Sus scrofa: one gene and its partner. The protein of the gene in region 2 purifies or fractionates together with the protein of the main gene of each other region. This does not show direct contact. Links are inferred from orthologs where the notes say so. Each region holds a gene or a part of one and is shown on either strand. Other genes may lie near its edges.

Region 1 (5,671 bases), on a different chromosome or scaffold from region 2:
GTTCCTCGTCACTACTGAAATTATTCTCTGAAATAGGTTTTCTCCAAAACTTTGGCTTCCACTTTCTTTTATCTTTGTAGGTTGTAAATGGAGGTGCTAAAGGAGACAGGAGATGGTTAATAGTTAATAGAATTAGTTTTTTATAGTTTTGGGTTTTTTTTTTTTTTGGTGGGGGACAGTGGGCTGTGCCTACAGCATGAAAAAGTTCCCAGGTCAGGAATTGAACCTCTGCCACAGCTATAACCAGAGCTACAGCAGTGAAAATGCCAGATCCTTAACTTGCTGAGCCACAAGGGAACTCCAGTTTTTTAGTTTTGAAGGCTACCCAAACAATACACAAAAAGAGCTAAATGTATTCTAATGTTACTCAGAAATGACTTTTTTTTTACACTGAGAACATAATGCCAAAAAATTTGCTCGACAAATTTGCTCTATAAGGTTCTTTTGTGCAGCAGAAAGAGATATATACTCACTATGGCCTTTACTTTCATTGATGTTGCTAACAAGGAGAACAGCCATCTGGTCCATTGACATTCGATCTTTGTTTACTCCAAAAAGCTTCTCGACATATTTTTCTGAAAGTAGAGCAATGCTATCTTCATAAAAAGTATAATAAACATGGATTACAGAAATTAGGCTAACTAAAGACAAAGAAGTGAAGAATAGTTTAAAAGTTAAAAGTACTAGTCAAAAACACCCATGGCCTTCTAAAGGGCAAGGAAGGCCTACATTATCTCAACTGCTAGAGCAAATCCCACCATATCATGCACCCAATTTGGGCTGGAAAAGAGTATTTACCAAAACAACCTAAAAAAGTGAAAATTAAAGTCCCTAATTGGGAATGATTAAATAGATTCGGTGATGTTACAATCACTCTGAGTCATCACAATACTGAATTTAACAAACACCAATAATGTGAGAAAAAAGAATGTATACATGTATGTGTAACTGGGTCACCATGCTATACAGTAGGAAAAAAAATTGTATTAGGGAAATAACAATTAAAAAAATTAAAAAAAAAAAAAAAGTGTACAAAGTACTTTTAGGGAGTTCCCATCATGGCACAAAGGAAACGAATCCAATTAGGAACCATTAGGTTGCCTGTTCAATCCCTGGCCTTGCTCAGTCAGTGGGTTGAGGATCCAGCATTGCCGTGAGCTGTGGTGTAGGTCGCAGATGCGGCTTGGATCTGGCATTGCCGTGGCTGTGGCATAGGTTGACAGCTACAGCTCCGATCAGACCTCTAGCCTGGGAACCTCCATATGCATCGGGTGCGGCCCTAAAAAGACAAAAAGACTGGAAAAAAAAAAAAGGTCTTTTTATACTTCATTGTAGGATTTGAAACTACAGTCTACAGTCGTCTCAACTTCCAACACCCCTCTATTTTCAAAAACAATAAATAGGGTTTATTTTTAAAATATCAGTAAAATTTCTATACAACCATGTGATATACACTGCTAAATAAACTGAAATATTTAGATGAGCACCATCAAAAGAACTTTCTGCAATGATGGATGTCTTATATATATGCACTGTCTTATTGGTAAGTACTTACCAACACTGACCTCAACAGTGGCTACTGAGCATTTGAAATGTGGCTAGTGTAACTGATGAAATAAATTTTTATTTTAATTAACTTAGATTTAAATAGCAACATATAGCTAGTGACTACTGTAGTGGATAGAGCAGACCTAGATAAAGTGTCAAAGATGAATGTATTGAATTATTATAGCTCTTTAAAGATGTCAACAACTGAATATAAAGCTTTTAAATTGCCTAAATTCAAATTTTCAGTTGAGAAACAAGAGGTCTTTAAGAACCTGCTGCAGCAGCAATTTCTTCATCAGTGCTTGTCTCTGAACAACCAATCAAAGACAGATTATATGACAGAATGTCCTGGAAGAGCTGTTTTCGGCTAAGCGTATAGTCTTGTGTATGCTGCCTAAAAATAAATAACAACACAGAAAAGATAATCATGTATATACCAAAGCCAAATAACCAAGACTACCTTTTAATTTACAAACTGCTCACAAATAAAAACTACTCACCATTGACAATCATCATCATTACACGTTCCTGTTAAATCAAAACGGCAGAAACACTGATCTGGTTCGATCATATTACTGTATGATACTGAGCTTAGGGGAAGTTTTTCCTTGGTACGATAGTATGGACTAAATCTAAGAAGAAAAGAGGCAGACAGGCACATTATGATGCTCTATAAACATTCCTCAGAAAATTTAAGAAATTTTCATCTTTTCTTTCTCAGTTAAAGTTTCTATACTTTGAGCTTACTATTTATCTAATTATTAATCTAATACTATCTGATACCAAAATGAAGTCTCACAAACAACAAGAATATCAAGTCCTAGGAACATGATACTTTTATACCCAGGATATAAAATATAGGAAACAGAAAACAAAGAACAAAAATATCCTGTATTCTAAAAGTAGTAATTTTTACCACATGATAAAACTCTATAAAACACTGGTCTTTTTTTTTTTTTTTTTTTTTGTCTTTTTGCCTTTTCTAGGGCCGCTCCCACAGCATATGGAGGTTCCCAGGCTAGGGGTCCAATCGGAGCTGCAGCTGCTGGCCTACACCAGAGCCACAGCAATGCGGGATCCGAGCCTCATCTACGACCTACACCACAGCTCATGGCAAAGTCAGATCCTTAACCCACTGAGCAAGGCCAGGGATCAAACCCGCAACCTCATGGTTCCTAGTCAGATTCATTAACCACTGAGCCATGACGGGAACTCCCAACACTGGTATTTCTTACATTACCAGCCAACCAAGAAACTAGAGAAAAAGTTTACACTACATAGTAGATGCTTAATAGTTTTATAAAATCATACCAATTTAAGTCTAACAGCTTCTAAAAGTCTTAAAGAAAAAAAAAAAAGCAACCTCTCACTAAGGTAATCATCTGAAAGTATCAAATCAAGTTTATGAAAGCTGGCCAATGTTTTCCTTAGAGTAATAGTAAAACATTTTAAAAAATTAAAAATTCTCCTAAGACTTCAGTTATTTTTCTTAAAATCTTTAACAGACAGTAATTGAGAATTCTCCACAATTCCACCAGTAGCTAGAAATTAAGATTTGATAAGAATTGATGAAACCAGGTGTGAAGTGAACCTTACTTCCTCTTTGGTTCAAGTCTGAAAACAAGACAGTAATTTATACAAGTTCATTTTTTTCATGACCATGATTCAATTTTCATTATCATCAAATATGCAAGCTTAGGATATCATTAACAACAAGAAGCAACCCTGAAACTCAAGCTTATTAAATCTTCCTTCTATACCTGTACGACTTAAAAACTAGAAGGGGACTATGGTAGGGTCTAAACGGACATGGCTTCACTTCTGCTGCTTTACTCTGTGCTGTCACAAAATCCACATCCACGGAAATCTCCTGCAAAAGAAAATAGTAATTTCTTAAGGCAAATATGGCTAGGGTGAAGTCTAGATTTCATAAATAATTTGAAATGTTCAGTTACCTGACCATGCAAAATCTTGTCTGTAATGCTTGTGGTAGTTTTTAAAATCAGTTGTTTTAAGCTGTCAGCTTTTGAATATAATTTCTGCAATTCACCAATTTTTAATCCTAGAAAAAGTTCTGGTTTTTCTACTGTATTCTTGGTAGGTTTGTTTATACATTCTTTGTTAGGTGTATCAGTGTGCTTGAGGTTAGGTTTAGTGAAAGAATTGGATTCTAAGAATGATCTTCTTCGTTCTCTGTTTGATCCAGCCAAAATCTCAACATCAACATCATTTTCCTCTGTGTCCAGACTTAATTTATCTTGAGTCAGATCGTGAAGTGAGGGCTGAGGTAAAGAAAATTCAGGTTCCTCTTCCACAAGTGGAGCAATATTTTGTTGTTCCTTTGCTTTAAGGGCCCTGGCTTCTTTTAGTTTCTGAATTTTCAGAGCATATTCATATTCTAGCTTTTGTAATCGTCTTTTTTCCATAGCAATTAATTCTGCTGAATGCTTTCTTGGACTTGATATTGGAGAATTGTCCAGTCTCATCATTTTGTTTGGCTGGAGGGAAAAATGGTATCAGTATTTTATATTGTTATGATTTTATAAATGATTTTTGGTAAGATAATTAGGCTATCCCTATAATACAACATAATAAAACTAAATCGATAAATAAAATAGTTTTACAAAAGCTTCCCAACAGATTTACCAGTTAATCTATGATACACAAAAACTTTAAAAAAAAGTCAAAGTAACTTTAAAAATAAATTTCTAAAAATGTAGATGTCATATAAAAACAAAGCTTTACCCTTAGTTTCCTTGAATATGCAGTAAAAAGCTTGAATTTTTTATATATCTCTTATCCTCAAAAGTATTATTAAAACCTTCTCCTTTTCAAACATAAAATATTTCTACACACAACTTACTCCAAAGCGATCTTGTTCCAGTTTACGTTTTCCTATTTCTTTACTAGCCACTGCTTTTGCCCGAGCAAGTTCTTCTCCATATTTCAGAGTTAAAGCTTTCTTAATTGTAACACGTTGCTGAACTTTGTGAATCTGAAATATTGGATAATTCTGAAAATGTAAATCTTAGAAGAGGAAATATCTTCTCAAACATAGTAGCTTTAGGGTATTCAACTGAAAATTAAAATACGAAAATACCACGTTTCAAGAGAGAACAAAACATAGGTTATGTATTTTGATAGTTTCGGTTTATGGTTTTATTAAAAATTTGGCCCATAAAAATGTGTAGTAAACATGAGACTACAATATTTAATTTTAAAAAAGAACATTACTTGTTCCTGAAGCTTCTTCAAAAACATTCTATTGACACTGAGAATTTTCTCTGTTGCCTGAAGCTGCTCTGTAAGTTTCGTAATTTTTGTTTCAGCATTTCGAACAGATTCTTTCTTCTTAGCTTCCTGCTGTACTAGATTCTTTAAAACAGATTCATCTTTCATCAAGAGAATCCTAATTGGGAAATAACAAAATTCTTATTAATGTTTGTTTTTCTAAACTAGTGGACTAACACCATCACAATAAAAAAATTACAAAGTAATAGCTCATTTTTAAAAATATATTTGATACACAGAAGTGAGTATTTCAAAGGATATTTTCATATTCACCAAGTATTCCTTTCATCATACATGTATTCAGATAGACACTGTTACATTTTATGAAAGCAACTATAGGTCTGATCTTTAAAAAAAATTGGGAGTTCCCATTGTGGCTCAGCAGTAATAAATCCGACTAATACCCATGAGGATGGGGGTTCAATCCCTGGCCTCACTCAGTGGGTTAAGGATCTGGCATTGTAGTGAGCTACAGTATAGGTTGCAGATGTGGCTTGGATCTGGCATTGCTGTGGCTGTGGCATAGGCCAGCAGCTGCAGCTCCGATTCAACCCCTAGCCTAGAACTTCCATATGCCACAGGTGCAGCCCCCCAAAAAAGGAAAAAACAAAACAAAACATTTGTCTGTGTAATGTGAATAAAGGCTGAAAAGCTGTTAACAGTAAATGTTCAATCAGCCCTATATAACTCCTAAATAATAAACTTAAGACATAATTGCTGTTTAGCTTCATTTATAATACTTTTAATATATACACAAAAAACATCTAATAAACATAATCAAGCATATTTAATTACCTAACAAACCTCTAAGTCAATTTTATCTAAGACAAGG
Region 2 (6,391 bases):
CCAATTACCCGGCAGCCCGATCTTAGGCCTCAGGATCACCTCCAGTGTGGCCTTGTTGAAGATCTCTTTGCGGACCTTCACCTCGGCTGGGCCATACACGCCTGCCAGGACGGAGGTATCCCCTGGGGAGACAGCACAGGAGGCCTTGCCCACGTCTCCCCCGCCTCCGGGGCCCAACGCGCGGCACTTAACAGTGTGGGCACAGAGCCGGTGGCCGGGCTTCCCCACGTCACCCCGGCTCTGGCCCACCATTCCTTGACAGTGACTCTTGGGGCACTTGCTTCGTTTCTCTGCCTCCACTTCCCCATCCGTCAAACGATACCTCCTCCCTCACAGCTGTTGAGGGTTAAATGAGATGATCCACTTAAAGGAAAAAGGCTCAGGAGCTGCCTGGTACCCCTGCTGAGTGCTCAACAGACTTAAGCTGTTATTAACTTCACCGGGAAGTCCCTCCTGCACTAACCTCCCTCCCTCTTACTGCTGCTGGTCCCAACTTCTCTTCCCACAGCTTCCCCTAGCCCAGCTCTCAACTCTGCAGCAGTAAGGATACCTGAGAACCCAATAAATACCTGGGGGGTGGGGGTGGGTTCTAACTCCTGCTCATTTCCTCCTGGCTCTGTAACCTCAGCTGATTTTGCTCACTTCTCTGGGCCTCAGTTTTACCATCTGCAAAAATGAAGAGGCTGAACTAAAACAGTAGCTTCCAAATTTTTCTGACCATAACCCCCAATAAGAAATATATTTCAGGAGTTCCCGTCGTGGCGCAGTGGTTAACGAATCCGACTAGGAACCATGAGGTTGCGGGTTCGGTCCCTGCCTTTGCTCAGTGGGTTAACGATCCGGCGTTGCCGTGAGCTGTGGTGTAGGTTGCAGACGCGGCTTGGATCCCGCGTTGCTGTGGCTCTGGCGTAGGCTAGTGTCTACAGCTCCGATTCAACCCCTAGCCTGGGAACCTCCATATGTTGCAGGAGCGGCCCAAGAAATAGCAAAAAAGACAAAAAAAAAAAATTTTTTTTCAGGGAGTTCCCTCTGCAGCTCAGAGGTTAAAGAACTCAACTAATATTCATGAGGATGTGGGTTCGATCCCTAGCCTTGCTCAGTGGGTTAAGGATCCAATGTGGCTGTGGCTGTGGCGTAGGCCAACAGTTGTAGCTCCGATTCAGCCCCTAGCCTGGAACTTCCATATGCCGCAGGCCCAGCCACAAAAAGCAAAAAAAAAAGAATCACTAACGAATGCACATTGGACTCACTGCAGAGCTTTAAAAGACACTGATGCACAGGCCCCTCCCCTCAGAGAGCCTAATACCATTGCTGAGGGCTGGCGCTCAGGCACCGGCAGCCTGTGAGCTCCACAGGCCATTCTAATGTGCAGCGGGGATTGCAACCTGCAGTGGGAGGACACGGAGCTGGTGCACAGCTTCAAAACGCTGGCCTGCAATCAGAATTGCCGCTGTAGTGGATTAAAAAGTGTAGAGGGCCAGACTTAGCTGGTGTGGGTGGGTTCTGAGGCTTCAGCATTTTTTTTTTTTTGGCTGTGCCCACGGCACATGGAATTCCTGGGCCAGAGATCAAACCCTTGCCACAGCTTGGACCTGAGCCACAGCAGTAACAATGCTGGAACCTTAACCTGCTGAGTCACCAGGGAACTCCTGGGGCTCGGAATTCTTAACCTCAGTAGAGATTCTGAGGCCAGGAGCATGTGAGACACACTTCTGAGGGCCTTTGAGGGACTCTGCTCCAGGGTCCTGGGCTTTGGGGTTTTAGAACATGGAAGAGGCTCAGTATTTAAGTGCTAAGAAACTTGCATGAAGGGCAGTCCTCCGTACCTCTCTTTGACCTCCTGTCTCTGCTGCAGCCACTTTGCTCTCCTGACTGCTCCTCAAACACACCAGGCAAGTTTTTGTCTCAGGGCCTTTACCCTTGTCCCCAATGCTTTTCTCTTACTGTCTTGAGGGTTTGCTCCCTTACCTTTAGATCTTTATTCAAATGGTACCATCTTAGCGAAGCCTTCCCTGACCATCCCATTTGAGACTGCACCCCTCTCTGGCACGCCCTATTCTTCCTTCCTGCGGTAGTTTCCTCCATAGCCTTTTACTAAGTTTTACTTAGTTATCACTTGTTTCTCTGATGGAAATGGAAACTCTTCTAGGGCAGGAATTTAAAAACTTATATAAAACAGAAAAAAATATAAAAAAAGAAATTAAAAAAACACAAAAAACCTTTTTAGCTATGATTTCTCAGTGCTTAGAACAGTACTTAGCAAAAACACATGTGTTCAGGAATTCCCGCTGTGGCACAAAGGAATTGGCAGGAACCCTGGCCCAGCGTTGCCACTCTAAGGGCATAGGAAGGACACAGTTGGGGCTTGGATGTGATCCCCAGCCTGGCAACTCCGTATATATAAAACAACGAAATTCCCATTTTGGCTCAGCGGGTAAGAACCCAACTAGTATCCATGAGGCTATGGGTTCAATCCCTGGCCCCGCTCGGTGGGTTAAGGATCTGGGGTTGCCGTGAGCTGTGGTGTAGGCCGCAGATGCAGCTCAGATCTCGCATTGCTGTGGCTGCGATGTAGGCCAGCAGCTACAGCTTCATTTGAACCCCTAGCCTGGGAACCTCCATATGTTGCAAGTGCGGTCCTAAAAAGCAAAAAAAAGAAAAAAGAAAAACAAACAAAAAAAAATCAGTAGTGGTGATTTGCCAGTCTACGAGGTATTTACGCAAAAGAACAGGTTTGCCTCAACCAGGGATAGATGAATCCAGAGTGCATGTGTGGGAGGAACCTAGTCAAGGAGGACTTTTTTTACACGGTGAGATTTCCCCTATTCTGGAGTATTCGTTCTTTTTTTTTTTTTTTTTTTTTTTTGCTCTCTCAGGCCTCACATGGAAGTTCCCAGGCTAGGGATCTAATCAGAGCTACAACTGCCAGCCTACACCACAACCACAGAAACCCCAGATCCGAGCTGTGTCTGCGACCTACACCACAGCTCACAGCAACGCCGGATCCTTAACCCGCTAAGGGAGGCCAGGGATCGAACCCTCATCCTCATGGATCCTAGTCGGGTTCCTTAACTGCTGAGCCACGAAGGGAAGTCCCTGGAGTATTCGTTCTTAAGAGAAGGTCTGCCCCTCTCTCATCCTGAGGCATATTTACCAGAGTGGAGGTATCTTCACCCTTCTATTTGTCTACTGGCATATGCAGTACCATTCACTCCGGCAAGAACTGCATCAGTCCAAGAAGATATTTACCAGCTAACACAATACACTGTACCCGCCCACGAGAACAAATACGACGTGGGTAAATTCTTACCTTGCAGGAAAGAGGCAGAGCCATCGGGCCGGGACAACAAGTTTTGTTCGCAGGCAAAGTGCCGGAGAGTACAGCTGGGGCTCCGAGGGCCAGACTCTGCTCCAGACTCGGGGCGTACCTTGGTTTCAGTCTGCATCGACTCCTCCATCGCCGGGGAGCCCACGTGCAGCAGGGACTGTCGCTTCCGCCCAGAAGCGCGCGCTTGCGTACAGACTGCGTACCCAATGAGCAAGCGCCAACTTGGGTGCGGGGCCCTCCGGGATCCGCGCCCGCACGTGTCTCTGCGTTTACTAACAATCTGGTCCCTCCTACTCCCGCCTAGAGAGTCCAGGAAAGCCATTGGACAGAAGGGAAGAGAGGGCGGGCCTTGGCATGAGCTCGTCCTACCCGAGGCCCCGGGGCCCTGAAACCCTGAAGCCGAGCTCAGTTGCCCTCTGCTTTGCCTGTTAAGAGGAATAACTCCGGTGAAGCGATCGGAGTAATTTGGGGAAATCTGGATTATTTTACCCACCTATATATGTGTCCTAAAGACCGCAGGATTAGTAGCAGGTGGTTTCTTGGCAGAGCGATCCTGGTATTTGAGTCAGGCTCCTGAAGGGGCAGCCCCAGTCTCGCCAAGGAGGGGGACGCTACTCTGAGGTATTAATGGTCAAGATGGCGTTGGCGGTGGCTGTGGCGAGGGTTTGGGAGCGCAGTCAAGGCTTGGGCCAGGCTGGCCTCCTGCTTCTGCGGCGGCTTGGGGCTCGGGGTCTGGCTAGATCTGTGAGTACTGGGGAGGTACCCGAGAAGGTATAGAAATGTTAACTCCTTCTTCAGAGTGTGGCGTCCCTGTAGGGAGTACATGGAGGGCGGTTGAAGGGAGAAGGGCTGCAGAAACATCTTGTAGCGGACCCTCAAGGGAAGAAGTTTCACTTCCTTAGGAGAGGCAAAGCGGGACAGCTTCTTTGTGGACCCTCAGGGAGGAAGACAACGTGGAGAAAGTGAGGGAGGGCGTTTCTTATTAGTTGCCACCAATGCCCCGGGGAGGCCTCTTGGAGGACATGGGGGGAAAGTGTGACCTTTCTCCTCAGGGGTTGGAGAGTGAAATTGCGTTTACAAAGGAAAGATTTTCTTCTTGGGAAAGACTCCCCCTTCCAAGAAGAGAAGAGAGAGCAGATACCCCAGCACAGGCTTTTATAGTGCCTTTTTGCTTCAACTCTGGTTTTTTTTAGTTTGTTTTTTTACTTTTTATTGGGGCATCTGCAGCATATGGAAGTTCCCAGGCTAGGGGTGGAATGGGAACCGCAGCTGGGGGCCAACGCCAGATTCTTAACCCAGTGAGCGGGGCCAGGAGTGGAACCTGCATCCTCATGGACACTATGACCGGTTCCTAACCCACTGAACCACAACAGGAACTCCTGCTCTGATTTTAAAATGAATCGTGTAAAAAAGTCGTTTGATCCTGGGTCCCCTGATGCAGTACCTGGCTGTTGACCTTGTCTGTCTTGATCATTACAAAGGAGATGATTAGTAAGTATTTGTTCAGCTAATGAGGGTGGACGAGGAGGGAGAGAGGTCCAGACAGAGCACTTGTCCACATTGCTTAGGAACACGTAAGAAATGCCTCATTTCTTGTCGCAGGGTCAGCCTTCCTTTAGGTTGATGAGAGCTTTCACAGCAGAAATCTAATTGGGAGCCCCTCTTAAGGGGAAGAGAGGCAGTGGGCTGCAGAAGAGCTGTGGATTGTTTTCACATGTAAGTAGTTAAGAAGGTGTGCTCTGAAGCTAGACCATGTGGGACCAATATCCCTGATCTGCTGTTTTCTAGTTTTTTAGCTTTGGGCAAGGGACTGCTTCTCTCTGGACCTAATCCCCCCCACTCCCACCCCCGCCAGCCAGTAAAATGCTAACAACAGATTGTTGTGAAGAACACAGAAGAGTGCCAAGGACTGGATGTGCCCATGACGAGGGCAGAGTGGATTTTGGCTGCTGTTGAAAGGGGACAGAAACTGACTTTGGAGATGAGGGAAAAGGGCTGGGTTGGTGAGGAAATCTATCAGAACTTTGTGGGGGAGTACCCGTCCTGGTGCAGAGGAAATGAATACTGCTAGTAACCATGAGGTTGCAGGTTCCATCCCTGGCCTCGCTCGGTGGGTTAAGGATCCTGCGTTGCTGTGAGCTGTGGTGTAGGTCGCAGACGTGGCTTGGAAACAGCGTGGCTGTGGTGTAGGCTGGCAGCTGTAGCTCCAATTTGACCCCTAGCCTGGAACCCTCCATGTACCGTGGTGCAACCCTAAAAAGCCAAAAAAGAAAAATGAAAGAAAAATAAGACTTTTTGTGGGGTTGGGCCAGACCGGCTAATCCCCAATTATTAGGAAGGGAAGATGGAATCTGTAGGAAGAAGCTCTAGCCAGGGAAGGAGAATAGGCTGGGAATGAGGTGTGGGTGGGCCTGGGAAGGGAGTCACTTGAGGCAGTTAATTTCAGAAGGGTTCCTGGAGCAAGATGGAAGTGGGACAGTCCCTGCCCTTGGGCTGTTCTCTGTGCATTTTGTTTTGTTTTTTTTTTTTTTAAGCTATCAGATCCTCTGCAGCTGATCTCCCTGGAGGCTGTTGGCTGGTCCTGTGGGTGGGGGTTGGGGGTGGGGTGGCTGGACTGGGGCAGGAGTAGAAGTAAGGAAAGGCCTTTTAGGGCAGAGTAAATCTGCTTCTTGCCTGGCTCAGTCCCCTTGCTGCCCTTCCTTCCTGCCTCCCCTCTTTTTTTTTTTTTTTTTTGCTTTTTAGGGCCGCACCCAGGGCATATGGAGGTTTCCAGGCTAGGATTCAAATCTGAGCTACAGCTGCCAGCCTACACTACAGCCACAGCAATGCCAAATCCGAGCCGTGTCTGCAACCTACACCACAGCTCACAGCATCACTGGATCCTTAACCCACTGAGCAAAGCCTGGGATCGAACTCGCGACCTCATGGTTCCTAGTGGGATTCATTTCCGCTGCGCCACAACGGGAGCTCCCCCTCCTTTTTTTTTTTTTTTTTTTTGTGGGGTGGAGGAGCAGGAGGTCTTTCAGAGCCCCTACTTTTTGTTTATTTGTGTTTAGAGTCCCT

Evidence for each region. Proteins that work in one complex are often made in the same cells at the same time.
Region 1: the proteins of EXOSC5 (region 2) and ZFC3H1 purify together in Homo sapiens (affinity purification with mass spectrometry; 3 studies listed by BioGRID and IntAct, with this or other methods). This does not show direct contact. The link is inferred for Sus scrofa from reciprocal best matches to the Homo sapiens genes EXOSC5 and ZFC3H1.

The regions. Positions count from the first base shown.
Region 1 is NC_010447.5:35,638,669-35,644,339, forward strand, and holds part of ZFC3H1 (zinc finger C3H1 domain-containing protein), read right to left. Parts: intron 4,958-5,671; coding exon 4,783-4,957; intron 4,544-4,782; coding exon 4,412-4,543; intron 4,047-4,411; coding exon 3,504-4,046; intron 3,419-3,503; coding exon 3,309-3,418; intron 2,181-3,308; coding exon 2,049-2,180; intron 1,943-2,048; coding exon 1,821-1,942; intron 576-1,820; coding exon 474-575; intron 97-473; coding exon 1-96. UniProt on the Homo sapiens protein: Subunit of the trimeric poly(A) tail exosome targeting (PAXT) complex, a complex that directs a subset of long and polyadenylated poly(A) RNAs for exosomal degradation. The RNA exosome is fundamental for the degradation of RNA in eukaryotic nuclei.
Region 2 is NC_010448.4:49,378,246-49,384,636, forward strand, and holds the start of EXOSC5 (exosome complex component RRP46), read right to left. Parts: upstream 3,503-6,391; 5' UTR 3,459-3,502; coding exon 3,311-3,458; intron 145-3,310; coding exon of another isoform or gene 123-144; coding exon 9-122; intron 1-8. Other genes in the region: BCKDHA (2-oxoisovalerate dehydrogenase subunit alpha, mitochondrial), read left to right, coding at 3,956-4,072. UniProt on the Homo sapiens protein: Non-catalytic component of the RNA exosome complex which has 3'->5' exoribonuclease activity and participates in a multitude of cellular RNA processing and degradation events.